Linked DNA regions of Rattus norvegicus. The protein of the gene in region 1 purifies or fractionates together with the protein of each later gene. This does not show direct contact. Links are inferred from orthologs where the notes say so. Each region holds a gene or a part of one and is shown in the gene's direction. Other genes may lie near its edges. The genes, in order: U2af2, Snw1, Srpk1, Acin1, Ncbp1, Hnrnpf and Snrpd1.

Evidence for each region.
Region 2: the proteins of U2af2 (region 1) and Snw1 purify together in Homo sapiens (affinity purification with mass spectrometry; 4 studies listed by BioGRID and IntAct, with this or other methods). This does not show direct contact. The link is inferred for Rattus norvegicus from reciprocal best matches to the Homo sapiens genes U2AF2 and SNW1.
Region 3: the proteins of U2af2 (region 1) and Srpk1 purify together in Homo sapiens (affinity purification with mass spectrometry; 3 studies listed by BioGRID and IntAct, counting the BioPlex papers as one, with this or other methods). This does not show direct contact. The link is inferred for Rattus norvegicus from reciprocal best matches to the Homo sapiens genes U2AF2 and SRPK1.
Region 4: the proteins of U2af2 (region 1) and Acin1 purify together in Homo sapiens (affinity purification with mass spectrometry; 3 studies listed by BioGRID and IntAct, counting the BioPlex papers as one, with this or other methods). This does not show direct contact. The link is inferred for Rattus norvegicus from reciprocal best matches to the Homo sapiens genes U2AF2 and ACIN1.
Region 5: the proteins of U2af2 (region 1) and Ncbp1 purify together in Homo sapiens (affinity purification with mass spectrometry; 3 studies listed by BioGRID and IntAct, with this or other methods). This does not show direct contact. The link is inferred for Rattus norvegicus from reciprocal best matches to the Homo sapiens genes U2AF2 and NCBP1.
Region 6: the proteins of U2af2 (region 1) and Hnrnpf fractionate together in Homo sapiens (co-fractionation; 3 studies listed by BioGRID, with this or other methods). This does not show direct contact. The link is inferred for Rattus norvegicus from reciprocal best matches to the Homo sapiens genes U2AF2 and HNRNPF.
Region 7: the proteins of U2af2 (region 1) and Snrpd1 fractionate together in Homo sapiens (co-fractionation; 3 studies listed by BioGRID, with this or other methods). This does not show direct contact. The link is inferred for Rattus norvegicus from reciprocal best matches to the Homo sapiens genes U2AF2 and SNRPD1.

Annotation. Positions count from the first base shown.
Region 1 is NC_086019.1:77,804,454-77,808,430, reverse strand, and holds the start of U2af2 (U2 small nuclear RNA auxiliary factor 2), read left to right. Parts: upstream 1-1,139; 5' UTR 1,140-1,216; coding exon 1,217-1,265; intron 1,266-3,977. UniProt on the Homo sapiens protein: Plays a role in pre-mRNA splicing and 3'-end processing. By recruiting PRPF19 and the PRP19C/Prp19 complex/NTC/Nineteen complex to the RNA polymerase II C-terminal domain (CTD), and thereby pre-mRNA, may couple transcription to splicing.
Region 2 is NC_086024.1:112,833,413-112,836,959, reverse strand, and holds part of Snw1 (SNW domain-containing protein 1), read left to right. Parts: intron 1-3,307; coding exon 3,308-3,424; intron 3,425-3,547. UniProt on the Homo sapiens protein: Involved in pre-mRNA splicing as component of the spliceosome. As a component of the minor spliceosome, involved in the splicing of U12-type introns in pre-mRNAs.
Region 3 is NC_086038.1:6,670,308-6,673,854, reverse strand, and holds part of Srpk1 (SRSF protein kinase 1), read left to right. Parts: intron 1-2,028; coding exon 2,029-2,147; intron 2,148-3,547. UniProt on the Homo sapiens protein: Serine/arginine-rich protein-specific kinase which specifically phosphorylates its substrates at serine residues located in regions rich in arginine/serine dipeptides, known as RS domains and is involved in the phosphorylation of SR splicing factors and the regulation of splicing.
Region 4 is NC_086033.1:32,114,198-32,118,277, reverse strand, and holds the start of Acin1 (apoptotic chromatin condensation inducer in the nucleus), read left to right. Parts: upstream 1-1,273; 5' UTR 1,274-1,310; coding exon 1,311-1,622; intron 1,623-1,663; coding exon of another isoform or gene 1,664-2,058; intron 2,059-2,069; exon of another isoform or gene 2,070-2,208; intron 2,209-3,028; coding exon 3,029-3,094; intron 3,095-4,080. Other genes in the region: C15h14orf119 (uncharacterized protein C14orf119 homolog), read right to left, coding at 1,664-2,058.
Region 5 is NC_086023.1:65,232,132-65,235,631, forward strand, and holds part of Ncbp1 (nuclear cap-binding protein subunit 1), read left to right. Parts: exon of another isoform or gene 1-182; coding exon 183-247; exon of another isoform or gene 248-338; coding exon of another isoform or gene 339-355; intron 356-1,225; coding exon 1,226-1,288; intron 1,289-2,109; coding exon 2,110-2,184; intron 2,185-2,983; coding exon 2,984-3,087; intron 3,088-3,500. UniProt on the Homo sapiens protein: Component of the cap-binding complex (CBC), which binds cotranscriptionally to the 5'-cap of pre-mRNAs and is involved in various processes such as pre-mRNA splicing, translation regulation, nonsense-mediated mRNA decay, RNA-mediated gene silencing (RNAi) by microRNAs (miRNAs) and mRNA export.
Region 6 is NC_086022.1:152,767,360-152,771,568, forward strand, and holds the start of Hnrnpf (heterogeneous nuclear ribonucleoprotein F), read left to right. Parts: upstream 1-1,369; 5' UTR 1,370-1,623; intron 1,624-3,104; 5' UTR 3,105-3,165; exon of another isoform or gene 3,166-4,209.
Region 7 is NC_086036.1:1,968,384-1,972,499, forward strand, and holds the start of Snrpd1 (small nuclear ribonucleoprotein Sm D1), read left to right. Parts: upstream 1-1,290; 5' UTR 1,291-1,407; coding exon 1,408-1,421; intron 1,422-3,931; coding exon 3,932-4,008; intron 4,009-4,116. UniProt on the Homo sapiens protein: Plays a role in pre-mRNA splicing as a core component of the spliceosomal U1, U2, U4 and U5 small nuclear ribonucleoproteins (snRNPs), the building blocks of the spliceosome.

The DNA of each region.
Region 1 (3,977 bases):
GGGGTTAGATTTCTCGTAGGTGGCACGTTCTGCGGTTGCGCAGCAGGAGCAGGGGCGGACGATTTAACGCGATTGCCATGGCAACCGGGAGAGGGCAGGCTGGTTAAACCGTCTTGAAGTTAGTGTCTACGGGGCTAAGGTTGGGGGTGGGGGTAGAGGTATGTTGGAGGAGATCGTGCGCACGCGCAATGTGGATTTAGAATGGCGGATCCTCCCGAGAGCGGAGAAAAACGTGCCTCTGACCGCTACGCAGGCGCAGAAACCCCTCTCAAATCACTGTGCGCAGGAGTCCCAAGCTGCGCTAACAACCTCCGCCGCGTCCTCGAACACCCTTTGTTCAACTGGCTGCTATTGTCCCGTACACCTTCTCTGGCCTTCCGCGAGGTCAGTTTTTTCAGTTTTCTAGAGAGCTAAGTGCCAAAGCTGAGACTCCGCCCCGTCCACTATAGCCATCTGGCCCACCTCTCATCTGTCCTCCCTCCCTTTTCGGTTCTTTAAGCCGAAAGGAGCCGAAACAACAGCGGAAAAAGCCGAATTTCCCCCCCTCCGTGCTGGAGGCCTTCCTGAAGCAGTGGCGGAAGGGAACGATATTCTCCGGAAGGGGCGGAGTGACCCTGTCGAACCTCCGGAAAGAGCCGAAGATTACAATCGGGTTTAATCTCTAGAGGGGCGGTGAGCGAGCGCTGGAAACCTTCGGAAGAGCCGAAGGCCTGGACGGTTAGGATTGTTGGAAGTGACTGACCGCTTGAACAGGGTCGGCGAGGGGTGGGACTAATTTCCAGAGGCGGCCAGAGACTGAGACGGTTTGAGTTGTAGGAAAACCCGTATCTTTAGAGGAGGCTGGTGTAGGGGAACGCGAGGACCCACGGAATCCTCCGAACGTTGAAACGCTAGTCTCCGAAAAGTTACCGCAACTTGGGCAGCCGGCAAAAATCCTCGCTTCGGGTGATTTCGAGGGCGACCGTCGTCTGCAGACTTCTCTCTCCGAGAATAGCCGACAGGCTTCGGATCTGAGCTCGGGGAAGTTCGAGGGGGGGTGGGGCGGGCGGGACGAGGGGGTGGAGTCGGGACGGGGCGGGGCTTGGGGCTTGCTTAGGTAGGCGACGGAGTGCCGGCGGGGGCCGGAAGTAGCCGAAGCCAGCGGCGGAAGTAGCCGGAGCGGGCGGGCGGCAAGGCGAGGCGAGAGCTGCACAGGGCCCTACGCGGCCGCCTAAGCATGTCGGACTTCGACGAGTTCGAGCGGCAGCTCAACGAGAATAAACAAGGTGAGGGCGCTGGGGTTGTGGGGTGGCTTCTTGCTTCGCCCTGTGCGCCCCCCCTGCCATTTCTCTTGTTCCCTTCCCTAGGGCCGCACGATTTACCCCCCCCCCCGTGCCGCGCGCGCCTAGCTCACGTGACCTCCCCTTGGCGCTGAGGGAAGGGGTGGCGGGCGAGGCTCACGGCGCGTGCGCGCCGCAATATCCCGCGCCCACGTGGTCTCGGTGGAGGCGGCGCGTTTTGTCAAGTAGGCGCATTGAGGGCGCGCCGCATTCCTCTTTGTGCATCTTTTTTGTTGTTGTTTTAAATTTTTGTCTTTTACTTGAGAAAGACATGAATTTAGGTCTCAATTCTTTTTCTTTTGCTGCCTTCGCACTTCCGCTTCCGGTCGGGCGTACTTTTCCTTTCTCCACGCCCCCTTTGTTTCCAAAATGGCGGTGGTGAAGCACACTCTCTCCCCCCCCCTCCTTCACGTGGACTGGCGCTGCAATCACTAGGTGCTTGTAGGTTTCGAGCCTGTTCATACTTTTCGATTTCTCCAGAACTCTCCTGTCTCGATGTTTCTGTCTCAGCCTCCGGTTTTGTGGCGTCTTAGATAAAAATGTGTCCTACACCTGTTTGCCCGCCAAAGAGGGAAGTCTCTGCGTTCTTTGTGCCCCTGCTGAGCATAAATCATATATGCCTTGGAGTTTGGGCGGCCGACATCTGTTTTTCATATCCCTAACACTCCCTAAACCTTTTGGTTTTAGGCAAAGCCCAGGTCCTGTATCATTCCAAACTCGGACACCTAAATCCAATCATACTGTAGGGATAATAAAATAATAATAAAATAGTCAAGCAAATGGGAAGTAGGGAGCTGGCCCATTAGTAGGTTAGTAGAGGCAGGTGCTCCTAAAGTAAGATCCTGTACTATGAATTTGGATCAGAAAGGCAGTCAGGCTATGTTGGTGCTGATGGATTTAGGAATCCCGAGGAAAGAGTTGAGTTATATATAAGATATAAGACATCTCTACAACCTCCTTTTTTGAGACTGAAGAGCTCAAATTTCTTAAGGATTGAGACTTAAGCTGCCTTGTGTTGGGGCATTCGGTGAGACCTTCAGAATTCTTCGAAATGAAGCTGGAATTGAGAGAGTAGTTGAAACAGTACATGTGGAAAAAGTAATTATTCTGAGTGCCCTTGTTGAGCTTTTCTGCTTTGAGTAGTGTACTGTTTAAAAGTATAGGCCTTAGAAATTGAATATACCTGAGTTCAAATATCTTTATGTATGGTAATTTGTTAGGTGTATGCTGATCATCACTGCTCTGTTTACTGGGTTTTTGAAATTAGTAATGGTGGTACATACTGACTATAGTTGTGATTAAACTCAGGCCTTACCATGTGTCAGGGCAAGGAAATTTGTTAAACTCTTAAAATCTCCCTCCCTCCCTCCCTCCCTCCCTCCCTCCCTTCCTTCCTTCCTTCCTTCCTTCCTTCCTTCCTTCCTTCCACAAGGTTTCTCTGTATAGCCCCAGCTGTCCTTGAGTCCTTGAACTTGTCCTACTCAACAGAGGTTCTCCTGCCTCTGCCTTCTGCATGAGACTTGAGCCACCATCATGCTCTAAACAGTCTTAAGTGAATCATTTGTAACAGCCTTCTGAGGACATACTAGCTTTCTGTTTATTGAGCAGTAAACTAGGGCTTATAAAGTTTTTGTTTTTTCTCTTAAGAAAAAAAGCTCCAGGCATTAGTCAGTGGAAAGCTGGAGCTGAGTTTAAATGGAGCAGAGTGTATATAGATTGTGTGGCTTGGATTATGCTAAATACCTAACTAGACTGGTGTCGAGTTGTAGAAGGGTGGGGAAAGTGGATGCCAAATGTTATTCCTATAAGACCTTGGTAATGTAGATGTGACCTTCATTCAAAGAAAGAAAAACTGGATGTTAAAGCTAAGTTCCTGCTTTTGTGTAGAGCTCTGACTGCAAAGCCAGTTCCTTGTGGTTCAGGTGGTTCAAGTGGAGCTGCTTTAGCTGTTTTTTGAGGCTGTGATACTAGTTCTAGAGTGTCCCTTCTGATGTTGGCAACGGGGCCTGAGACCCAGCCTATAAGGGTCGATTATTGGAGCTATGTGCATAAGACAGCTAGAGTATAGCATTTTGAGCAAATGAAGTTTCCTTTTAACGGTCCAGCATCAGTATGTGGGAGAAGGTTCTTGCCTTGCTGGAAGAAAGCTTGACCATCTTGTCACCTTGCCTGCCTGTGGGTATTTGTCTCTGACCCAGACTCACTGTATCTCTTAGCTTTAGCCCCCTTCTTAGTTCCCTAAGTTTACAGGAAGTTTGTGTCCTAGACACCTGGTGTTGTCATGTCATTTTTGGAGTTTGTTGTTTTTGCTTTTGAGACTTAGCGGGAGGGAAGACATTTGGGATTTGTAAGTAGCCCCTCTTCCTGGTGTGGAGCCAGAGCTGTGCTTGTCTCAATATTCCACAGTTCTTGCCCCTGTCTAGCTCTTGATTATTTTATTCTTTACATGTACATGCACATTCTTTGCTGTTAGTAGTTGAACCCAGACTCTGTAATGAGTGTTCTGCTTGGTCTTCGTTTGAGACTACAGCCTGGTACCTAACTTAGTGGCATTACAATTTCAGTCTTGGCTTCACTGTTGCCCAGCTGTTGGGCTTTGAGCAAGTCATGATCTCCCTGTGCCTCAGTTTCCTTATCTGCTTTATGAGCTTCTGACAG
Region 2 (3,547 bases), on another chromosome or scaffold:
ATTAACTTGAGTATTTCTTATTTACATTTCGAATGTTATTCCCTTTCCCGGTTTCCGGGCCAACATCCCCCTAATCCCTCCCCTTCTTTATGGGTGTTCCCCTCCCCATCCTCCCCCCATTGCCGCCCTCCCCCCACCAGTCTAGTTCACTGGGGGTTCAGTCTTAGCAGGACCAAGGGCTTCCCCTTCCACTGGTGATCTTACTAGGATATTCATTGCTACCTATGGGGTCAGAGTCCAGGGTCAGTCCATGTATAGTCTTTAGGTAGTGGCTTAGTCCCTGGAAGCTCTGGTTGCTTGGCATTGTTGTACATATGGGGTCTCGAGCCCCTTCAAGCTCTTCCAGTTCTTTCTCTGATTCCTTCAACGGGGATTCTATTCTCAGTTCAGTGGTATGCTGCTGGTATTCGCCTCTGTATTTGCTGTATTCTGGCTGTGTCTCTCAGGAGCGATCTACATCCGGCTCCTGTCGGTCTGCACTTCTTTGCTTCATCCATCTTGTCTAATTGGGTGGCTGTATATGTATGGGCCACATGTGGGGCAGGCTCTGAATGGGTGTTCCTTCAGTCTCTGTTTTAATCTTTGCCTCTCTATTCCCTGCCAAGGGTATTCTTGTTCCCCTTTTAAAGAAGGAGTGAAGCATTTTGATCATCCGTCTTGAGTTTCATGTGTTCTATGCATCTAGGGTAATTCAAGCATTTGGGCTAATAGCCACTTATCAATGAGTGCATACCATGTGTGTTTTTCTGTGATTGGGTTACCTCACTCAGGATGATATTTTCCAGTTCCAACCATTTGTCTATGAATTTCATAAAGGCATTGTTTTTGATAGCTGAGTAATATTCCATTGTGTAGATGTACCACATTTTCTGTATCCATTCCTCTGTTGAAGGGCATCTGGGTTCTTTCCAGCTTCTGGCTATTATAAATAAGGCTGCGATGAACATAGTAGAGCACGTGTCTTTTTTATATGTTGGGGAATCTTGTGGGTATACGCCCAAGAGAGGTATAGCTGGATCCTCAGGTAGTTCAATGTCCAATTTTCTGAGGAACCTCCAGACTGATTTCCAGAATGGTTGTACCAGTCTGCAATCCCACCAACAATGGAGGAGTGTTCCTCTTTCTCCACATCCTCGCCAGCATTTGTTGTCACCTGAGTTTTTGATCTTAGCCATTCTCGCTGGTGTGAGGTGAAATCTCAGGGTTGTTTTGATTTGCATTTCCCTTATGACTAAAGATGTTGAACATTTCTTTAGGTGTTTCTCAGCCATTTGGCATTCCTCAGCTGTGAATTCTTTGTTTAGTTCTGAACCCCATTTTTTAATAGGGTTATTTGTCTCCCTGCAGTCTAACTTCTTGAGTTCTTTGTATATTTTGGATATAAGGCCTCTATCTGTTGTAGGATTGGTAAAGATCTTTTCCCAATCTGTTGGTTGCCGTTTTATCCTAACCACAGTGTCCTTTGCCTTACAGAAGCTTTGCAGTTTTATGAGATCCCATTTGTCGATTCTTGATCTTAGAGCATAAGCCATTGGTGTTTTGTTCAGGAAATTTTTTCCAGTGCCTGGGGACATTTCTTGAAGCCTTAGCTCCTCAGTTAGCTTACCATTCACAATAAGAAATTACAACTCCCGAGAGCAGAGCTTAGTGGACGAGCACACATTTAGCATCTGAACCTGATGTACCCCAAAGACGAGAGACAGCTTCATAGGGCACTTTAAAATACACTAGATGTGTTGCTATACCAGTCCCTTGAATACCATGTAAATCTCTCTGGTATATCATAGCTATCAGAAGCACATAGATGAGAGATAGAGAGAGGGAGGAGGAGAGAGAGAGAGAGAGAGAGAGAGAGAGAGAGAGAGAGAGGGAGAGGGAGAGAGAGAATGAATATGAATATGAATGAGAGAGAATACCCTATTGGTTGAAGATTAATTCTTCATGAAGGTCAAACTTCTAGGTTAGAGTTATTTCCAGAAAAAATATCTCATTGTTCACATGAGAAAGGACAGCATGAGTTTTCAGGGGTAGGGAGGTGGTTAGGGGGGGTTCACTCCTTTGTTTCTTTTTAGCTATTCTGCTGTGTAGCATTGCTGTTCATGGTATTGTCAGGAGTGGTGTTCATGCTTGTGACTCCTGCACACATGAAGCGAAGCAGGGGGATAACAAGTTGAAGGCTACTCTGGACTACATAGCAAGATCTTGTCTGAAAAAATAAGCCCTAAAAATAAAACCTTCTGTTGCAGGGCCTGGTGGCACACTTGAGGTGCAGGCAAGCCAATATCTATAGGTTTGTGGCCAGTCTGGTCTAAGAGTGAGTTTTAGGACAGCCAGAATTGTATAGAGAGACCCAAATACATAGACTCAAAAAACAAACAAACAAAAAATCTTATGTACCTCAGATGCCAGAGCTTCCGGAGTTAGTGAGGGTCTATAAATTATGGGATACATTTCCAAGTTCTAGTTTCTTATAGGATTGGAGTCTACTGCATGAGTCATATTGATGGGTGAAGGCGGAAACTTTAGACCAAGAATTAAATATGAAATTACATAGTCGTGCTCCACTGGAAAGGCTCTGAACCATCTTATGTGGGTTGATTCATATCTATGCAACACTGTGGTCTGTTGAGATGACACTGAAGCACTGTGGGTCTTCATTTATCTATGGATCTTTTTCATATGGTTCTTTATATTTTTGCTTTGGGGCCAAGGTCTCAGTCTGTAGCCTGGAACTTGCTGTGTGGGCCAGACTGGTCCTGAACTTGTAATCTCAACTGTGGTTGCAGACACGTAGCAGCACGCCCAGCCAGCACTGCTTCACGTTAGGAGACAATGGATTTAAGGGTAGCATTTGATAGATGAGTTAGAAATCGGGAAACATAAAGCCAGGCCTGAAAGATATGATTCCAACAGAAGTTCAGCATACTCCCTGGGTACAAGCAGTTTGTCTGCATTCTTAGGACCTAATTTTACTGTAGTCTGACTATTGGACGGCAGGCTTAAACACTTGGGCTCTTGCATCATCATGTTAGTGATCCAGTCTTAGTTCTTCCATTTACTGACTGAATTTGCCACCATCCCTTGGCGCTCTACCCCACCTTCCTGTGAGAGGGAGATGTGTGGCAGCCTCATGCAGTTAACTAGGGTGACTAGAGCATGAACCCTCCATCGAAAGCCTTTACTGTTGTGTAAAGGACGTGAGTGTAAGAGATAGAAATGTGAGTGTTCTCAGAACGGGCATGCGCTAGTAATGTTCTGTGATAACTGCAGCCCCACTGTGCTGACCTGCCTTCGGCTTTCATTTCAGGGGTATACGATTCCACTAGATAAACGGCTGGCTGCTGATGGAAGAGGACTTCAGACTGTCCACATCAATGAAAATTTTGCCAAACTGGCTGAAGCCCTATACATTGCAGATCGGAAGGTTGGTCTTTTACAGTTTGCTGAGTGTTTGTGCATCTGTGAGCCCACATCAGTTTACCTGAGATCTATAGGGACACTGGCAAGTGTGTACACCAATGGCAGCAGGGGCTAGGTACAGCTCTGT
Region 3 (3,547 bases), on another chromosome or scaffold:
TTTGTCTTTTTATGAGAAAAGCTTTGCCTAATTTTGTGGTGTTTTTTGGTGTAATGTGGAGGCATTATTAAAAATCTTGAATGATTTTAGAATTTAAGATGGGCTAGAGAGATGGCTCAGAGGTTAAGGGCACTGACTGCTCTTCCAGAGGTCCTGAGTTCAATTCCCAGCAACCACATGGTGGCTCACAACCATCTGTAATGAGATCTGATGCCCTCTTCTGGTGTGTCTGAAGACAGCTACAGGGTACTCATCTATATCTAGATAGATAGATAGATAGACAGACAGACAGACAGACAGACAGATAATCTTTAAAAGACTCCTATAAGCAACATGGGAATAATATGACTTACAAAACTGAGTGAAGTTCCACTGTCAGTTATAGAATTCAAGACTTGGGCCTGTAGAGATGGCTTATAAGAACATGGCTGCCCTTCCAGAGAACCCCAGTTCAGTTCCCAGCACCCACATGACAGCAGCTCACAACTGTTTGTAACTCCAGTTCCAGGGGGTCTCATGCCTGCATACAGACATACGCAGGCAGAGCAACAGTGCACATGAAATAAAACAAACTATTTAAAAAAGCAAAGGAGTCAAGACTTAGTATAGAAATCATCCGGTAACATCAAGTTCAGGTGTCCCCACACAGGTGCAGAGAGCGCGTCCACCGTGCCTGTCAGTGTGCACGCTCTCCCTCCCTCCACTCACTCATTTGCTTCTGCGCTCTTTATCAGTAGTCATGTTTCAAGAACAGGAGCTACATGAAGATCTCCTCAGATCTTTATTTTAGCTTTATACTTGACTGTCAGTCTATAAAATGTATTGATCTGTAGCCCTGTAGCCTCCTGAGTCTAAAGGAGGGCTAAGCCTCTTTCCAGAGTGCTGGGAATATAGGACTCACCAAAGTGCTAAATGTTCTGTGAATGCGTCTCATTAAGTCCTTGGGCCCCTTTGAGAGCTGGGGCTGCTCAGCTTGGGGAGATTGCTTATTTAAGTCCTCTTAGTTGGAGGACTCTCCAGGCTGTCTGCTAGACTGGGCTCGCAGTGCTCCACCAGCTGCATTCTTTCTAGGTAGCTTTCTGCTTCTCCTCCTTAGAGTTGTCTCCCTAATATTCCAGCCACCCATCTCACAGGCTCCTCCTTCACTATTTCTATGCCACCCACTGCCTCCCAGGTCCTTTCTCTAGGAACTGCACTGCCTTGAATTATCCATCCATCCATCCATCCATCCATCATGTATACAGCATTCTGCCTGCATGTATGCCTGCAGGTCAGAAGAGGGTATCAGATCCCATTACATATGGTTGTGAGCCACCATGTGGTTGCTGAGAATTGAACTCAAAACCTCTGGAAAAGCAGTCAGTGCTCTTAATCTCTGAGCCATTTCTCCAGCCCTCATTAATTTTTAAAAATTTCACAGTTGTAGTCCTTGTTATTGAAACTGTAATATCTACTTTCCTGTGGAGCTCCCTATAGCTGTTAAAGCTGTCAACGCAGTGGCTTGAGGCAGTTGTTACAGGCACTTGGGGCTGGACAGGGAGAAGGCTTCATCCCAGCAGTTTGAAGCCAGCCCAGGCAGGCCAGTGAGGCTGGCAGCGAAAGGCAGCATGCTGTCTGACTTGGACCCCATATGTCAGGCAGCCAGCTTGAGGTGTCGGACCTCACTGCATGGAGAGCTATGTGCTCAGAGTGAAATTCAGAACTAGCTGACTGGAATGCCAGGGTCTGTAGTGTTCCACCTCAGGGAAGCTCAACTCTGGGGTGACTTGGCGGTGTAAAAGCAGGGGACAAAGTTGTTTCTGGAGTGTATAAAAATACTTAAAACTATCTTTAAAACTGCAAGGTGAAGAAAATGTAATGGCTTTCTCGGGATTATGCTTGGATGTTGATAGTCTTAGTTATTATAGACCACTAACTGCCGCTTTGTGAGGCTGCCTCTGGTGTTGGTGTGAGGGGCTGCTAATGACATTTCTTAAGCTCACTCTTTGTTTTCTGTGCATATGGAGTGAACATGTTATTGTTTCTTAGGCCTGAAACCCAGCACCGAGGCTCTGCACCCCACTCCGAGAGCGACATCCCCGAGCAGGAGGAGGAGATTCTGGGGTCTGATGATGATGAACAGGAAGACCCTAACGACTACTGTAAAGGTGTGTGCTTGCCTGTCCAGTGCGGTGATCAGTGCGTCCTGATGTGACCGCCTTGCTCTGTCCTTTGATCAAGATGCAGGAAATGGGGTTTTGCTCTTAGTTGGGTTATATTGCGTTTTTAAGCTTGTTGACCCTGCTAGGGCCTGACCAGAGCCTGGGGTTACATTCTTGCACTCAGCCCCTTTAAAATGTGTTTTCCAGGCTGGGCAGGGTGACACACCTTCAATCCTAGCACTCTCGAGGCAAGGGCAGGCAGATCTCTGAGTCGAGGCCATTCTGATCTGCAGAATGAATTTCAGGACAGCCAGAGCTATGAGACATGTAGAGATTCTGTAACTGACTAGCACTAATTTAAAAGGAAGGAAAGAAATCTTTTCCTCTTTGAAAATTGACAGGATATGCTTACCTACGAAAATTTCAGAGGTGTGGTGAACAGATAGATACCAGAGCTGGCTGTGTAAGCACAGTCTGTGTGTGCCGGGATAATAGGTGTGTGTCGCCACACTCAGCTCAGCTGGTATATAGATTTGTTTTTGTTTTTGTTGTTTGTTTTTTGTTTTTTAAGATTTATTTATGTTTGTATGTGAGTACACCGTTGTTGTCCTCAGACACCAGAAGAGGGCATCAAATCCCATTACAGATGGTTGTGAGCCACCATGTGGTTGCTGGGATTTGAACTCAGGACCTCTGGAAGAGCAGTCAGTGCTCTAACCACTGAGCCATCTCTCCAGCCCTGTTTTTTGTTTTTTTGGTTTTTTGTTTTTGTTTTTGTTTTTGTTTTTTGAGACAGGGTTTCTCTGTGTAACAGCCCTGGCTGTTGGTGTTTGTTTGGTTTTTAACTACTGTAATCCTCTCTGTCCAGGTGACAGCTGCTAAGATGTGTGTAACTGGGCCATCAGGCCTCAGTGGCCACCCTGCTGTGATAAGACTTGCCAGGGTCTTGAGGGCAGACCCTGGAGGATCTGCTTCACTGTCTAGGGGAGCTTGGACCTTTTCCCCCACAGGCATAGATAAATGCCGACATGTATTGTCTGGGACCTGAGGCGGACTTTCTGTTTGCTTTTTTCCCTTTTTCTTTCCTGGGGTGGTTGGGGATGGTTGTCACTGCGTGGCTGGCCAGGAACTCACTGTGCTGACCTACATTGAGAAGAAAGACCTTTCTATAATCATATTTGTTATTATTTCTCTCTGAATTTTTGAGATACCAAATGGAGATTGGTTGATTTTGATAGACATGTTGGGTTTTGAGAGGCCAGCAGTGTGGTAGCCCGTGACCACAGGTTGACGCAGAATATCACATACCTGGTGTGGATTCTCACCCATGCCGTCCTCACACCAAGCTGAGCGACACTGGGACTCGAGGCTCCCATTGAACTCCTCTTACCAGACGTCCATGGTGC
Region 4 (4,080 bases), on another chromosome or scaffold:
TGGAGACAAGAGGCAAGAACCTTCTGTTCAAAGTACAAGCAACTGGTCCCAACCTAAATGCTGATTTTCCCACAGTTCCCCACTGTGTGTGTGTGTGGGACGTAGGGGGTGGTCATGAGACAAGAACCTACTGTACAGTGTATGAACCACCTCTGAAACCTGTAAAAAATGTTTATGTTCTATGACCCCCTTATTAAATTCTCTACCACACTAGTAAATTTTGGAGCAGGCTAGGTAAAGTTCTTGTCTCAAGGTAAGGTAAGGGTTAGAAAATCAGAAGCCACTTTATTAAAGTTCTGAAGAAAGTCCTTTTGCTTCTTTCTTGACTTAGGTAACCTAAAAAGTGTGATACGGATGCACACGTGTCTCTCAACAGTTTTCCTTAAAGCTTTATGCCTACAAGTACCACTCATTTTGCATCATGGATGCAAGTGTCAGCCAACTTATTCCAAAATACTTTAGTCCTACAGTTTGTATCTCCAACAAGGAAAACCTTCAACTCTCTAGGACCTAAATTTCTACCTGTTCTTACTTCTCCGAGTTGGAAAATTTGTATCCATGAAGAAAAGAATACCTAAACGTCAGTTCTAAGTCCCGGTTCAGGGTGACTGCCAGTTTCAAAGTGGCCCTACAGGGAGAAGTTTCTCCTAAAACTTCTCTTTTTCAGAGAAAGGGAATTATTTACCCAGGCTTTTTTACATTTACATGGCTTCCACTGTAAACTTAAATTCGATGTCATTAATAAATTTGCTGTCTGAGATCAAAGACACAATGCTACTTTTTCCCACGTTTGGAAGCAGCAGGTCTCTTATTCCTTAGCCACACAGGACAAAGCATTTCTTAGACCGAGTGGCTGGGATATAGAGGATGGGGACCACAGAGATTTCGCCAGGAAGCAGAAGGGTTCCCCAAAAGAAAACATTCAGACACCAAGTCTTATCCGGCCTAGGAGAAATTTCTTTTCCTCTTACCTCCCTTTTCCCCTTGGAGGGCGCCCAGAGATCACAAGAGTGCTTCAGCTCCTGCTCCAATTCCCCGAGTCTCTTCCATGTTTCCGGAAAACCCTAAGTACAGCCAGCCCCAGTAACCCACGCACTTCCGGTCCGGAACCAGCCCCAAGTACCCAAGTGCCCCAGCGCCTCAGCCCTCAAGTCCGGAGATAGCCGAATATCTCCGATTATGGGTATGCCAGATTCGAGGGCTTCCGAATAGATTCGATTCAAAGCCTCGGCAAGACGAAAACAAACGAACCTGAAAGTAAAATGGGAGGAGCCGGCCGCTAGGCAGATGGAAAAAGCCGATTGGTACCGATGTGGAGACGGAAACGACCGAACAGTTCCGGAGGAACCCGGGGAATTCTGAGCGGTAATAGAGGGGTAGACTATGGCAGTGGGCGGGGCCAGTTCGGTACGTTCGAAGGGCGTTGGCGGAAATTACCGAAGATGCCCGAAGCCGTCGGGACGGACCCGAGTACCTCACGCAAGATGGCGGAGCTGGAGGAGGTGACTCTGGACGGGAAGCCTCTTCAGGCTCTGCGGGTGACCGACCTGAAGGCCGCACTGGAGCAGCGAGGCCTAGCCAAGAGCGGGCAGAAGAGTGCCCTGGTCAAGCGGCTCAAAGGGGTGAGAAGTCAGCGTTGCCGAGGTGTCGGAGGGGAGCGGACCTGGTAGAGACGAGTCTCCGCTGCGGCGCAGGCGCAGTGTCCGGGCTCGGCGCGAGCTCTCTCAGGCCGCCAGCGCGAGCCTGCAGATCCACGCGCACGGTGGTTGGTGTGGCTGGCGCTGGAATAGAGATAACGCCGGTTCCCGCCTTAACGGCAGCAGCGCGAGCCCAAAATGGGAGGGTGCGCGCTACTCTCCCGGAGTGTCTTAAGCTCCTTCCTTCTTCCCCCACCCCCTCCTTGTTTGTGTCTGTGTTTTCGGCGCATGCGCTGCAGAAGGAGTTAAATCCCTCTACAACCACCGGTGTGGCTGGCCTTAAGGGGGCGAGCAGGGCTGTGTCCGAGTTAGGGATACAGTTGGGCGGATGGGGTTGGTGTCTGTGTCTGCAGTAGTACATTTTGGATAGGGTAAAAAATGTCCGCTTGACTAGATTAAAACCTTAGATGAAGGAAAACCTTGATAGAAGGACTTGTCAGAGACGGGTGTCTAATTTATAGGGAATCGAGAAACAGTCTGGATAAGAATTTGGTGAATATTGGTGCGAGAGGTGAGACAGATTACTTTAGGCTGGGGATTTTGTATCGGTTTGAGCAGTGAGAATGAGCTTGTTGTCGTGAGGTATACATACTGTGTATTGGTTTGGTGTAAATGGAGGGAAGGAAGGTGAGAAGGACTAGTGTAATTTGAGTTCATTAGGGTACGTGGCTCATAATACTGATAGGGACTCGGTCAGTTCAGGCTTTGAGTTGACAGACCGTTGCTTATCCCGAAGCTGACAGTTTGTGGGTGGGTGTGGATTAGGTCAGACCACAGGTTACAAGGTCTGTGGTTAGTTTCTCGGTGAAGTTTTTAGTACATTTGATTTGTCTGGGTGTCAACACTGATGGAAATTGTGCAGGTTCATTTAAGTAGTTTTAGTTCTGAAAATCAAATAATAGTCAAATCTAAATTAGCAGCCTAGTGTTGGTTTCATGTAATTTGAAACTTGTTTGAGTACTTGTAATTTTTTTTGCCTGTATTACCAGATTTAAAAGTGGCTCCTAGTCAAAATTACAGACAATAACAGGGGTTCTAGTTCTGATTCTGCCACTTTTGCTGATTTTTTTGTGACATAGCCAGGTCACTGATTCTTTGTGTGCCTGTATTTTACATCCGTATACTTGGGAGCAGTAACCATGGCTACCTTTAAGCGACTTATGAAGATGAATGAGAACAATATTAATAAAGCGCTTTTAGGCTCTGTGAAAGGAATGTAGTATAAATGTATATTTAAGTAATTTAGTGAAAAGGCTGTGGGAGAGGTAGAGATCTGGAGTGCTTTTTTGTTCCCCCTCCTGGTTTCTGATTTTTGCTCTTCTTTATACCAGGCTCTAATGCTAGAAAATTTACAAAAACACTCAACACCCCATGCTGCATTCCAGCCAAATTCTCAGGTAAGAAAAAAGGTTTGTTTAGATAGAATGGGCTATTTGGAGAAAATGGTAAATGGGAAGACTTGGTGTCTTCCATGTTTATCAGAAACAGAATTTTCTTGTTTTTTTATTGCAAGTGATCTCAGTTACTGGGTTTTTGTTTTGTTTGTTTTTGTTTTGTTTTTTTAAGGTCTGTTTTTATTTTATGTGTGTGGGTGATTTGCCTCCAACGGGTGCCCACAGAGGCCAGGAGAGAATGTCAGATCCTCTGCAACTGGAGTTACAGACAGCTGTGAGCCACCATGTGGGTGCTGAATCGAACCTGGGTCCTCTATAAACGCAGCCAGTGTCTTAACCATTGAGCTATCTCTCCAGCCCTCAGACAGTTGAATTCTAATCACCCTCAATTTTGCATAAAGACCTGGAGTTTTAAAAAAAAGAAAAGAAAAAAATATATATATATAAATAAAATCAAAGGAGCACTGAATGAATTTTGAATTCTTGGAGTGTGTCAAAAGTATCACTCTGGGGGTTGGGGATTTAGCTCAGTGGTAGAGCGCTTGCCTAGGAAGCGCAAGGCCCTGGGTTCGGTCCCCAGCTCCGAAAAAAAGAACCAAAAAAAAAAAAAAAGTATCACTCTGATTAAGTGTGCCACAAGAATCTGAAGTCACTTGCCATCAGCTTAGGGGAAAGTTATCTTTGAATATAGATCTTTGAATATAGATGTAACAAAATACTTTTTCATCAAGAACTCTTTTATTGGTACAAATTTACTTTAAAGAATTTGATACTGTATTAATAAACCCTTATTTCTAGGACTAACTCTTAAACATCCTTAAAACCTTGATGACTTAGGACAAGGTACTTAACACTTAGAGACCTTTGTTTCTTTACCCGAAATAGGAAAAGTAGTTTGACTTAGTTCATGGTTTTATAACTGCTCTGCTGGGGTGTCTTAGGGGAAAAAACTTTGTTCTAAGAGTTCCTGCATAAACGTTTTTGTGGTT
Region 5 (3,500 bases), on another chromosome or scaffold:
GGGTGGATGCAGTGAGAGGTCTCAAATGACTGAGGGGGAGTGGATACAAAGGAGCAGTCAGGGTTACTGTCCAGCGTCGACAGTGTAACTTGAAAAACAAGATTAGCTATGTGAAAAGGAAAGAAACATACCGTCCTTAGGCAGGAGAGTAGGAAGTAGTTCTCCTTACCTTCCGGTCACAGCTTGCACAGGCCACTGAGATGCTGTACATGCGTCTGGACACCATGAGTACCACGTGTGTTGACAGGTACGGCCATTGGTGACATCGTCGCAACTAAGGGCTATGTTAGCGCCTCAGGAATCTTCAGAATCTCATATTCAAAAATTATCAGTGAGAACTACCCCCGTCCATGACCTTGAAACATTTCAAATGATTGAAATCAGTTTGGAGAGAAGTGCTTTAAGAAAGTGTTTTCCAGTGTCTCTAATAGAGTACCAGTTCTGTAAACATTTGAGTACTCCAATGGTCTTCAGGGCATCATTTAACACACTAAGATGTTTCCTGTCCCGAGAGCTACGTGTGTTTAAGTGGGTATATAGGCTGTCCTGAAAAGGTCGTAGTGGGCTTGGAGAGCTCAGCAATTCAGGTTCTGCTCTTCAGAGGACCTGAGTTTGGTTCTCAGCAAGCACATCCTGAAGCTTTGCTCCAGTTCCAGAAGATTCAATACCCGTCTGACCTCTGGCACTGCTGGCACTGTGTACACAGATATGCAGTGTAAACACATAAATGAAGAAGTAGTTACACTCTTAAAAGGTCTTTGAGAGTCTAAGAGCTGGTGAAAAGGCTCAGTGGTTACAGCACTAGCTGCTCTCCCAGGAACCCATGCTTGATTCCCAGCAAAACACGAGAAGCTTACTCTGATTCTGCCATTTGTAAATTATTTGTAAACATTAACTACAATTTATTTTTTTAGCTATTTCCATGTCATAAACAGTTACATGAAAAACTAATATCCTCCTTCATAGCTGTGAGAATTACATAAATATTTTGCACAAAACATGCTTTACTCATGGCTGTTCACTAACAAGAATAAAAGGGAGCCCCATTGTGAGAGCTGAGGAATCTGGGGACATAGGACAGGGAGTCAGACTTTGTTGAGAAAACAAAAGACTACAGGTGGGGTGGGGTTCCCCGAGACAGTTGAGCTGTATTAAGATTTTATAAACTGCTGGTCTAAATTGCACTCTTTGTTTTCTCTTCTCCCTGCTCCACTCCCCAATGTAGGTTTATTAATTGGTTTTCTCATCATCTAAGTAATTTTCAATTCCGCTGGAGCTGGGAAGATTGGTAAGTGTAAGGTTTATCCTTCCTTATTGAAAACAGTTACTATTGGAGATTGCTCAGTCAGTAAAGTGCTTGTTACTCGAACATAAAGACCCAATTGAGCTCCAGAGCCCATGTTAAAAAAAACCCATGTTGAGCCCTTCTTGGTTGCACACACCTTTAATTACAGCACCCAGGAGACAGAGGCACACCCATCTCTAAGAGTTAGGAGCCAGCTACATAACAAGTTCCAGACCAGCTAGCACTGCTCAGTCAGACCCTGGGTTTAAAAAAAGCCAGCTGTGGAGATGTGGGCTTCTAATCCCAGCACCAGGGACATAGAGATTGACAGATCCCTGAAGCTCACTGGCCAGTCACCCTAACCTAATGGGTAAGTTCTGGGCCTAGCGAGAAACACTATCTCAAGTCAAAGTGGGTGCACTGGGGGAACAACGCCCAAGGTTATCCTCTGATCTCCCTGTACAGGTCACACTCATGTATGCAGCACATGAATACATACATACACAGGAAAACCTTAATATTTAAAACTAAAAAAAAAAATATATATATATATGAGTGCTCTGTCTGTTTGCCAGGAGAGAGCATCAGATCCCTTTATAAATGGTCATGAGCTACCATGTGGGTTCTGGGAATTGAACTCAGGACCTCTGGAAGTCAGCCAGTGCTCTTAACCACCAGCCTCTAAAACTCACTTTAAAACAGTTTGTTGTCTCAAGTATTTCTTGATATTTAGTTACTCTATGTGGATGAGGTAAAAGGTAGAGAAACCTCTAACCAGGAACTGAAGGTTATGCATGTTAACGTAATCCAGATTTCCTCCCTAGGTCAGATTGTCTTACTCAGGATCTTGAAAGTCCCAAACCAAAGTTTGTAAGAGAAGTTCTAGAGAAATGTATGAGGTAAGCTCTTTGCATTTTGTTCTCTTAGCTCTCTTAGCTTCTCATGAAGGAAACTGCTGGAACTGGTTATTATCTGACAGGATTTCTCTCTCCTTTGTTTTGTACTTACAATGTTTGTCCATCTTCCAACTCACTTTTAAATGAAGATTTAGGCTACAGTTAGTCTGCTGTACTATTTGGATTTTATGTTAATTAAGCCAATAAGATTCTTTTCAATGTCTCCCAACATTGATGAGCATTTTCTTATTTTCTAAACTTGGGTTTTTATCTAATCTGTGTTTTCTTAGCCCTCTCCGAGAGCCATCTATTTAAAGAGCCTTTAGTTTCTAGTTGATAGAGTATGTTTTGGGGAACTGTGATTTAAGCTCTTAATGTGTATTTTTTAGGGGTAGTTGAGGCCTTTGGGAAGATACCGTGTGCATGCTTGCACGGTATATCCCTCTTTTCACACCCAACATTGTAAATACTATGTAAATGCTCTGTTGGACAGGACAAAGCGTGCCTCTTTCTAGCTCCCACTTATTTCTTTGCCGTGTCACGACCAGCCTCCCAGCCGTGCCATCTGACCTCCACCCGACCCATTCTCACTTGCAGTCTTCCCTGAACGCACGCTGCAGAGTCAGTGTCTGAGCGGCCTGAGCTCACTCACCTATGCTAACTTTCTCAATGGTTGGAAGGACTTGGTCCCCATTTGCGTCTTGGTTGTTCTCTGTGGGATCTTAGATCTGGCTTCTGGGCAGGTTGAGTATTAGCAAAGCCTGAAACATGAGACTTTCTGAGACTCTTGTTTATGTTGTAGGTTGTCTTACCATCAGCATATATTAGATATCGTTCCTCCCACCTTCTCAGCTCTGTGTCCTGCAAACCCAACCTGCATTTACAAGTATGGAGACGAAAGTAGCAGTAAGTAACACTCTCTCCTTAGGAAGTACCGATGGACGCATTCGGGGAAGCTGGTTACCCATAGGAGGGAAGGTTGACGTTCTCAGAATCGTGTTTCTATATTTGAAAAACGACTCACATTAACCACTAGATTAAGGATTTTGTTGTTGTTGTTGTTAGCTTTAGGTTCCTTCTGTTTTATTCTGTTCACAGTGTTTTTCACATGACCTTTTTAATCCAGTACAAAGAGTAGTACTGTACAGAGGGGAATTCTTCCTGGAGTGTACTAAGACTGAAAGTGCGTTTGTTAAGATGGAGACTTGTTGAATTGGTTACCATCTTGTCCTAGTTAGCGTTGCCGTTGCTGTGATGGAGCGCCATGAACACAAGCTGAGGGAACTGTTTGATTGGTTTATACTTCATGTGTCCATTGA
Region 6 (4,209 bases), on another chromosome or scaffold:
TATAGTAGTGCTTGCCGGGGTTTTCTCTACAGGTGCTTAGGTCAGAGAACAACTTTTGCCCTTTCTCTTCTGTGGGTCTGTGGATGGTTCTCCACTCAGGTGTCAAACAAGCTAGGTGACTAGTGCCTTGCCCCATTTTTTCTGGGCCCTCAAAAAAAAATGAGAAGTGACTGGATTATTTCAGAGGCCAATTGCTTTGAATTAAGATTTGTGGTTGCCTGTTGGGTGTAGATTTTATAAGGTTCATTTTTTAAAATATTTATTTAACGTATATGAGTACATTGTAGCTGTCTTGAGATACACCAGAATCTGTTAGAAATGGTTGTGAGCCACCGCGTGGTTGCTGGGAATTGAACTCAGTGCTCTTAACTGCTGAGCCATCTCTCCAGCCCCTATAAGGTTCATTTTTATACATATGGGCCAACTTAGGTTTAAAAGTCAAGCACTCCTTCCACTACGGCGATACTAGGGATCCAAACCTAGTCAGCCTCTAGGGCTCTGAGGGAACTCGAGTAGTCCCGGCAGGTCTCGAAATCAGCTTGGCTCTGCCTCCAGAGTGATGGTATTAAAAAAATGTATGTACCATACCGGTCATTAGTTTATGTAAAAAAATTTGAGACAAGGCTAAATGATGGGATTAAAGGCGTGCCGCCACCAAGTCGAGTCGGGAGTTTTTAAAAGTTAGGTTATCGTGGAGTCGGCGGGCAAATGAAAAAAGTGTAGAGTGTCTGCAGGTTTCCATTCTGTACTCCGAGTTGATTTGGTTTTACTTGGCTGAGTCTGTCAACGCTTCGTTGCATTCGCCTTTCCAACTGTAGCGGGTAGTCTGTACTTTGCTCAGGTGGCTCCTTTACCCAGAACTCAGCGAGGAGTCTTCCCCTTTCCTTTCCCTCCTTCCCCCACTTCCGGCGCCGGCCAAACCCACCGTTCGCGGGCCACACCTGCAGGCACGCTTTTCTCATTGGTGACATATTGGCGGGCCCGGCAGGGCACTTCCTCCTCTACACCCCGTGACCCGAGTCCGACTGCCGCTGTAGATCACGCGGCTGCTGCTTCCCGGACTCCGGACTCGAACGCCCGTCTCGGCGTGGTGAGCCCCGCTTCCCGCCCGAGCCCCAGGTTACCGGCTGCGTACTTGACCTGCTCACCTTAGAAGTTTCCCTCTTCGAGCTTTTCCACGCTTCGGCCTGCGCGAGTTCTTACTCCAGCCCTCTTCCCCGCCCTCTGGATCTTCCCCTCCCCCACCCTCCGAGGCTCAGGAGCCTCCCTTCCCCCCGCCCCCGCCCGGAAGCTCCCGCCCGAGCCCGCGCAAGCCCCGGGGCGGACCTTCCTGCCCGGCCGGCGCTCGCTGCGCGGCGCGGTCGACTACCGGGCGAAGGCCGCGGAGCAGCGTCACCTTGCCCTCCGCCCTGCTTCCCGCCAAAACGCTCGTCTCAAGGGGCTCCGCTTCCGCAAAAGCGTTTCCCCTGGTCATTTGAACTTCCATTTCAGGTTGAGAACAAAAAGAAGATGCACCTGGACTTTCCCCGGAGCCCTCTGCGTTTTTAAGGCGTCGGGTGGAGTTGGGGTTCGTAAGCCGCGTTCGTTATTGAAAATAGAAGTCACTTCTACCTTCCTCCCGTGGTAAGTTTCAGAGCAGAAAAAGGCAGCAGCTTTGAAGCCGCGGCTCTCCTGGTCTTAAGAGTAGAACTTTCTGAGTAAGAAAACCTGCCTGGATGCGCTCCCGGCGTTCCGGAGGTTAAAACTCATTTACAAAATGGAGGGAGGATGAGGGCGGGCTCCCAATGAAAACTCCGGCGACTTCCTGGAACACAAAGATGCATAGAGGAGGGTGCAGCAAGGCTCCCACCAAGCGGGCCTGAACAAAAGAACTAGGTGGGTGGCGCTTGAGCCGCCCTGTTTGTTCAGCCGATAAACTTAACTAGTCCAGGATTCAGAGGGCGCACCTCTTTTATCTTACCTGGATCTACCTGAAGGCAGTGAAAATCCAGTTTAACCAGTATCACTGACTGGGTAGCTTGTTAGAAAAAAGTCTCAGCCTGTTTGTTTATTTTAATAGTGCATTTTCTTTAGTGTTTAACTTGTGGAAATGTAGGCCTAGCCTGGCTATAGTATAGGAGTCAGTCGCCCAAAATGATGCAAATGGTTTCAGTAGCGTGTCTTGCAATTAAAATCAAATGTCTGGGTGTTCTAACAGTACTTACAAAGACCCGCCATGCCATCTTCTCTTTTACTGGGCATGTCTCCACAGTTCACATGTTCACGGGTCTCGTGCCAGTGGCTTAATGTAGGTCTAGCTGCTAGCTGCATGCAGTATAGTGTCTCCAGGGAGGCCCACAGGTATTGTCTACCACACTAGAAGTAAAAGGTTGGAAAAAGGGGATCGAGTCATTAGAATTTCATGGACAGGAATATGGTTGAAACTCATTAAAGTGAAGCCCTGTTTCAGGGTCTTTGAAACTATTTTCAAAATGGGTTTTTAGCACCGACACCCCAATATCTTGCATAATTTTGGAAAATGAGACAATGCAACTGCAGTTACCCCTATTTTAAGACAACAGGCAGAATAGCCTACCACATTTCCAAAACGAAGAATGCAGCATAATTTGTCATAGGATTCAACCCCTTTCCTCACCATTTGGGAGAAGCTTTGTCACATAGGTTATGATAAAGCAAAAGGCATTGGAGACCCTTCCCCACCTCCAGCATGGAGAAGATAAATAACAGGAGTGTTTTTTCATTTCCAGAGGAAATTCATGCTGGCCTGGATGCCTATGCTACTGAAAGGGTTGGAAGTCTTGGCATAAAGTGCCCACTAGATCCCTGCTCTATTTAAATTTTAAGTTTCTCCTACATTTAAACTAAGCTTAAATTAGTTCTGCTAAGTTGTTTGCTGATGTCCTCTACCCATGAAAAGATGAAATATAAATAACCAGGAAACCTAAATATGTTGGTCCTAGGGCTACAATGTATTTCTGGATTTGAGAAAGAAACTTAGCTTGCTCTGAGCCTAGCTCCCAGGAGGTCCCCTTCTGTACGATGATGAATGGAATCTGAGGCCACGAGACCAATCTTGGGTTTTGTGTTTGTTTTTATTTTTTAAGGAAAACTTGTTATCTTCCATTCTGTGTTTCCTACAGAAGGCATCTGTGGTGGTTCTTTAAGGTAAGCTACTAAAAGATACATTTAACTGTAAGACGATTAATTTGTTAAGCAAAGTTTAGTTTTCTTTGAAGAACTGTCAGTTTTAAATGCTTGGTGAGTTTACAGTTAAGTCAAACTAAAGAACTATGAACTTCTTGGGGGGGTGAGTAAAAGCAAGCTGTAGGTGTTGGTTGACATGTTACAGAAAAGAATGCTTTCTTCCCCTGTTGCTGAAACTGCTTATAAAGTACTTGTTCCTTATGCTTCTTACATGTTTTTAGCTTTGACTAAGCTGCTATACTCTGAAGGAAGGTGTTGACCCTAGGTGGACAGTAAATCCCTAGCTAATCCTTGACCTGCTGTGGTCTGTTCCCTCTGCTAAGGATGAAGTATTGGACAACAAAATTGTCCTAAGTAGGGTCCCAGTGTAGTTTTGAAGACCTTTTAAAACTACAGAGAAGGTTGTTATGAAAGTAGAAAGTCAGACTTATTGTGGGACGTGAGAAGATGTTATTGGAATGGTAGTTGCGCTTAGATAACCCAGAGGATTATCAAGGTTTAGCTGGACAAGGTTGGGCAGAGGATATTTGGGTGGAGAATTATTTGATGTGTCAAATCCTCCAGGGAACAGTGGGGAAATTAAAGGAACTAAGGAGTAAAAAAGAATGATGGATATAGATTAAGAATGTCTGTAGGATCCAAGGATTCTTTTAGTTCAGTCTCTGTTCTAATAACCAATGGGAAATAGGGCTTAGAAGTGGGGCATTGACATAATTGGGTTACAGTTGTTAGATAAATCTTAAGATTGTGATAGAGTAGCAGGGAGTGTAAGTGTTTTCATTAGAGTTAAGAGACGCTAGGAATATAGGAGTCAGGAATTTTGAACGAGTCCCTGTGGCAACACAAGGCTGCAATTCCATCTACCAGGAGGTGGTGAGGCAAAAGGTCTTAAGTTTATTATTATGGTCAGCCTAAGCAACTAGACACACAGTTGAATCATTTAAAAGTGGCTCAGAGGATTTATGGCTCAGTAGAGGAGTATTTTGTTTGCCTGGGGGAGTTTAT
Region 7 (4,116 bases), on another chromosome or scaffold:
GAAAGAGATGGGTTAGAAGGAAGATGACCCCAAGTGGAAAGGGGATTTGTGGGTAAGAGTACCAGTTGCTCAGTATTGGCATTACTGCATTGAGTGATATGCACAAGGTCTCCTTCCTTATAAAGCGCACGTTTTAATGGAGAGAAGCATCTAATTGTTCATGCATATCAATAGAGGACTATAGATTTAAAGAATAAAATAAAATAAAGGACTATAGATTTATCTTGACATTACTAAAATTATTTTGAGTGGAAACTATCAAAATTATCCCTGAGTCACCATGGTCAGCTTCCCAGAATAAAATAGACAAATCACGAGAGAGTTGTCTGAAGCTTTATGACAAGACCTTGGCCTAAGGATGTACCTGACTCTGATTAGCTTGAAATAGACAAGAAATACTCTTAGTTGGGTGAAATCTGGTGATGCATGCTGGCCCCAAACTTGCACCACCATGCCTAGCTCTGAAATAACTTTCACCTGTTTATACCCCACATACCTTCTAACCCTAATCACAAGGACCTATGTGCTTTTCCTGATGCCCAGGCCAATGTATCTGTTGTAAGTCACCCATAAACTGCACACTGCAATTCTGGGCTTCCCTGCCTCCTCCTTTGATCTCATTGACCCGTGGGACCAGTTCCCATACATTGGAACAGGGGCGTTTTGTGACAAAAGCATATTCTATGAAAACAGTATTCTAGATATTGGAGAGCACAGTAAGCAGTTGTATTCCCTTGCTTTCAGACACAACATTCTCCTGAGGACCAAAAATAATACGTTTTAGAATCAAATGATAATAAATTAATATTATCCAAACTTCTTGTGATAGTGGAAATTATTTGCACTATATTTGTAATTATATCAATTGTAGATGTTGTGTTACTAAATTTAACTGTGTGGTTATTGCAAATAAGGAATTGGATTTTTTTAAGTCGAAGGACTTACTATATATAAAATGAAAGGTTTATTTAAAACTCTGTCCAAAGATCTGATTGGCTTAGCTTAGCCAACGAAAGACAACTTGCAGGATTGATTTCCCTGCTTCCAACATGTGGATCCCAAGGATTAGGCTCGGATCTTGGAGGGCTTCTCTCAGAACTTTTCCTCCTTTGACGTGTGAAAGTTCCAGGCCTTCACAACTGGTTTTAATAAATTCATAAGTGGTCTCGGACTCCTGCAGGTGTAGTCCACCAGCCCTTCCGCCCTCCGAAGGCGCAAAGCGCTCCTCCCGTCGCTAGGAGCCGCTGTCGCTCTCCCGGTCGCCGGAAGGCAGCGCGGCTTCCGCGTTCTCGTCGCGCATCCGCAGGTCTCCGCGCGCTCTTCCGGCCATTCATACTCCTAGTCTGTGGGTCTTTGGAGCCTGAATTCCGTGGACAGTTGGACTAGAAGGGAGACTGCGCCGCTAGGATGAAGCTCGTGAGGTGAGGAGGGTTACCTGGCTGGGGGAGAGCGGCGGGTAGAGAGTTTGGGCCAGCTTAGGAGGCCGGGCCGCTGTGCTCCCAGGGAGGCGGGAAAGCCGCGTGCGCGCGGCCTGCTAACGGCCTCCGGCGCCCGGGCCCCGCCGCGCCCTGCTCGTCGCCCAGAACCCTGGGCAAGGGACCGGCGCGTTCAAACCCCCTCCGGTCTTACAGGAATGAAGTGGCCAAGCCGTCTCTGTCCACTTCTCATCCGGCGACTTAAACGGAGCAGTGGTCCCTCCGTTTTCGTGGCGAGTCGGAGCACTTGCAGTGACGAGGATTTAGAAGTAGGATGGTTTTATCTGCAAATAACGACGCCGATTTGCAAGACGTTTTAGATTAAGTTCTCCTTAATTTTGACCGACCAAAGCATGTAACTCGTTAATGTAGGCTTCTGACTCAGGAAAGACAAAGTGTCTCTGGATGGGGCAAAAGGTAACAAGTTAATTTCTCCTGATTGCATAGATTATGTCGGAAGTGGAGCCTAACTAGAGTCTTGTTTGCTGGTTTGATTAATTCCAAACTTACAGACTTGTGGCCAAGTCTGGGGCAGGGTATATAATATCTAAGCCAGTTTTTAGAAATATTTAGTTTCTTGTGTCAAGACCTGTTGTAGTTGACCAGAATGCCTTTGGACACTTTAAAGTGCTTCCCAAGTGCTAGATTACAAGCATACATTTTTCTTGGTTTTGCTCATTAGAAAGTAAATTACTATTTGTGTGTGCTCGTGCACAGGTATGTTATAAGACAATTTTTGGTAATTTGTTTTTGCCTTCCACCAGGGTCTCAGGGATTAAAACTCAGGTCCTCAGCCTTTACAGCAAGTACTTTTTACCTGCTGAGCCAACTTGATGGCCCTGCTCAATATTTTAGTCAATTAATTGATTTTGTTAGTGGTAATGATTGGTTTTGGGGTGAGAGAGTGCGCGAGTGTGCTCCTTGGTTGGCTTGGTGCTCACTGTGTAGACCAGGCTGGCCTTGAATTCACAGAGATCCTCCTGCCTCCGCCTCCCTAGAGCTGTATTAAATGATGCACTACCATGGTTTGATTTAGTTTGGGTTTTGAGATTATATTTATGTGCAGGGTGGAGGGTGCCACAAATTAGGCAGAGGCCGGAGCATCTATGTAAATTCAAGTCCATCCTGATGAATTCCAGGATAGCCAAGGCTACACAGAGAAATCCTGTCTCAAAAAAAAAGAGTTGCATTTATTTATGGGGGAAGTTTGTGTGCACAAAGATGAAAGGACCCGTAGGAGGAGTCGGTTCTCCATTATTGGGATCCTCAGACTTGGCAGCAGCAAGCGTTCACCCTCTGTGCATATATACCGGCTTGCTGTGCTTCTTCCCAACACCCCTCCCCCACCGTTTTTTCTTTTTTTGCATAGATAGAAAATTGGGAGATTGTTAATTGTTACTGGTGAGGGCCTGCATAAATGGGTTTGTAACGGCAGAAAGTTGAAAACATCATTCACAGTGGGGTAGTTGACATTTCCATATAGTAGATTACTATCTAGCTCTTGGAATATTTATTTTTAGGGAATTATCCCCAGTGTAAACTGCTAAATAAGCTCCAAGTACTATTGATGCCATTAAAGAATAGCCTACTTTGTGTAAAGTAGAATCTTACATGTATGCTTGTGGGTTAGAATAATATCCCTGTTTACCAAAATGCAGGAAAAGAGAAGTTCTTTATTTCTACCATGTAATCTTATGCTATCAATTAGAATTCTATTTCCTTTTTGTGTCTGAAAATTAGTCTAGGGTCTTTTGTTTGTTGAGACAATTTCACTGTCACTATGTAAAACAGGCTGGCCTCCAATTCACAGAGACCCATTTGTCTGTCTAGCAAGCACTGGAATTAAAGGATGCACCACCACTCCCAGTGCTACTCCAGGATCTTGAGATATCTTCATTTAAGGTTGTTTTGTAATAGTCTCTTTCTAGTATTCTCTAGTCGGAAGCTCAGGACAGCCCAAGTTTACAGACTCGGGTGAAAGCTTATTTGAGTGCTCTGCAGCCTGTGAGCTGCAGGTGGACCCAGTAACGTCCAAAGATGCCAGAGGAAAGTTTATTGCTTCATTCTTTTATAAGTTTATGAGTTTGGTTCAGAAAAAGTTAAGCACTGTGTATTTATTATGAAGAATTATTTTTAAGATGTTTATTTTATGTGTGAATGTTTTATCTGCATGTATGCATCACAAATTTGCCTGGTGCCTAAGGTCAGCGTAGGCCTCCAGATCCTCTGGGAGCAAAGATAACAAATGTTTGTGAGCTTTCGTGTGAGTTCTGGGACTCAAACTGGGTCCTCTGCAAGAGAGGGGAGTGCTCTGCACTGCTGGTTAGCTATCCAGACCCCATATGAACTGTTGTGGCATTTTAAAGATTTTGATCTCTAGCATTTTTACTCTACCGACTTCATCAAAAGACTTAAAATGTTAAGGTAAAAAATCAGGACTTTATTTCTTTTTATAGATTTTTGATGAAATTGAGTCATGAAACCGTAACCATTGAATTGAAGAATGGAACGCAAGTCCATGGAACAATCACAGGTGAGAAGACTGTTTCTGAAATGTTTTTGTTTAAGGTTTTTTGTTTGTTGTTTTCTTCCTTGTGTTTGTTTAATGAGCGTTGTTCTTTTTGTTTCATTCTTTTTGTCT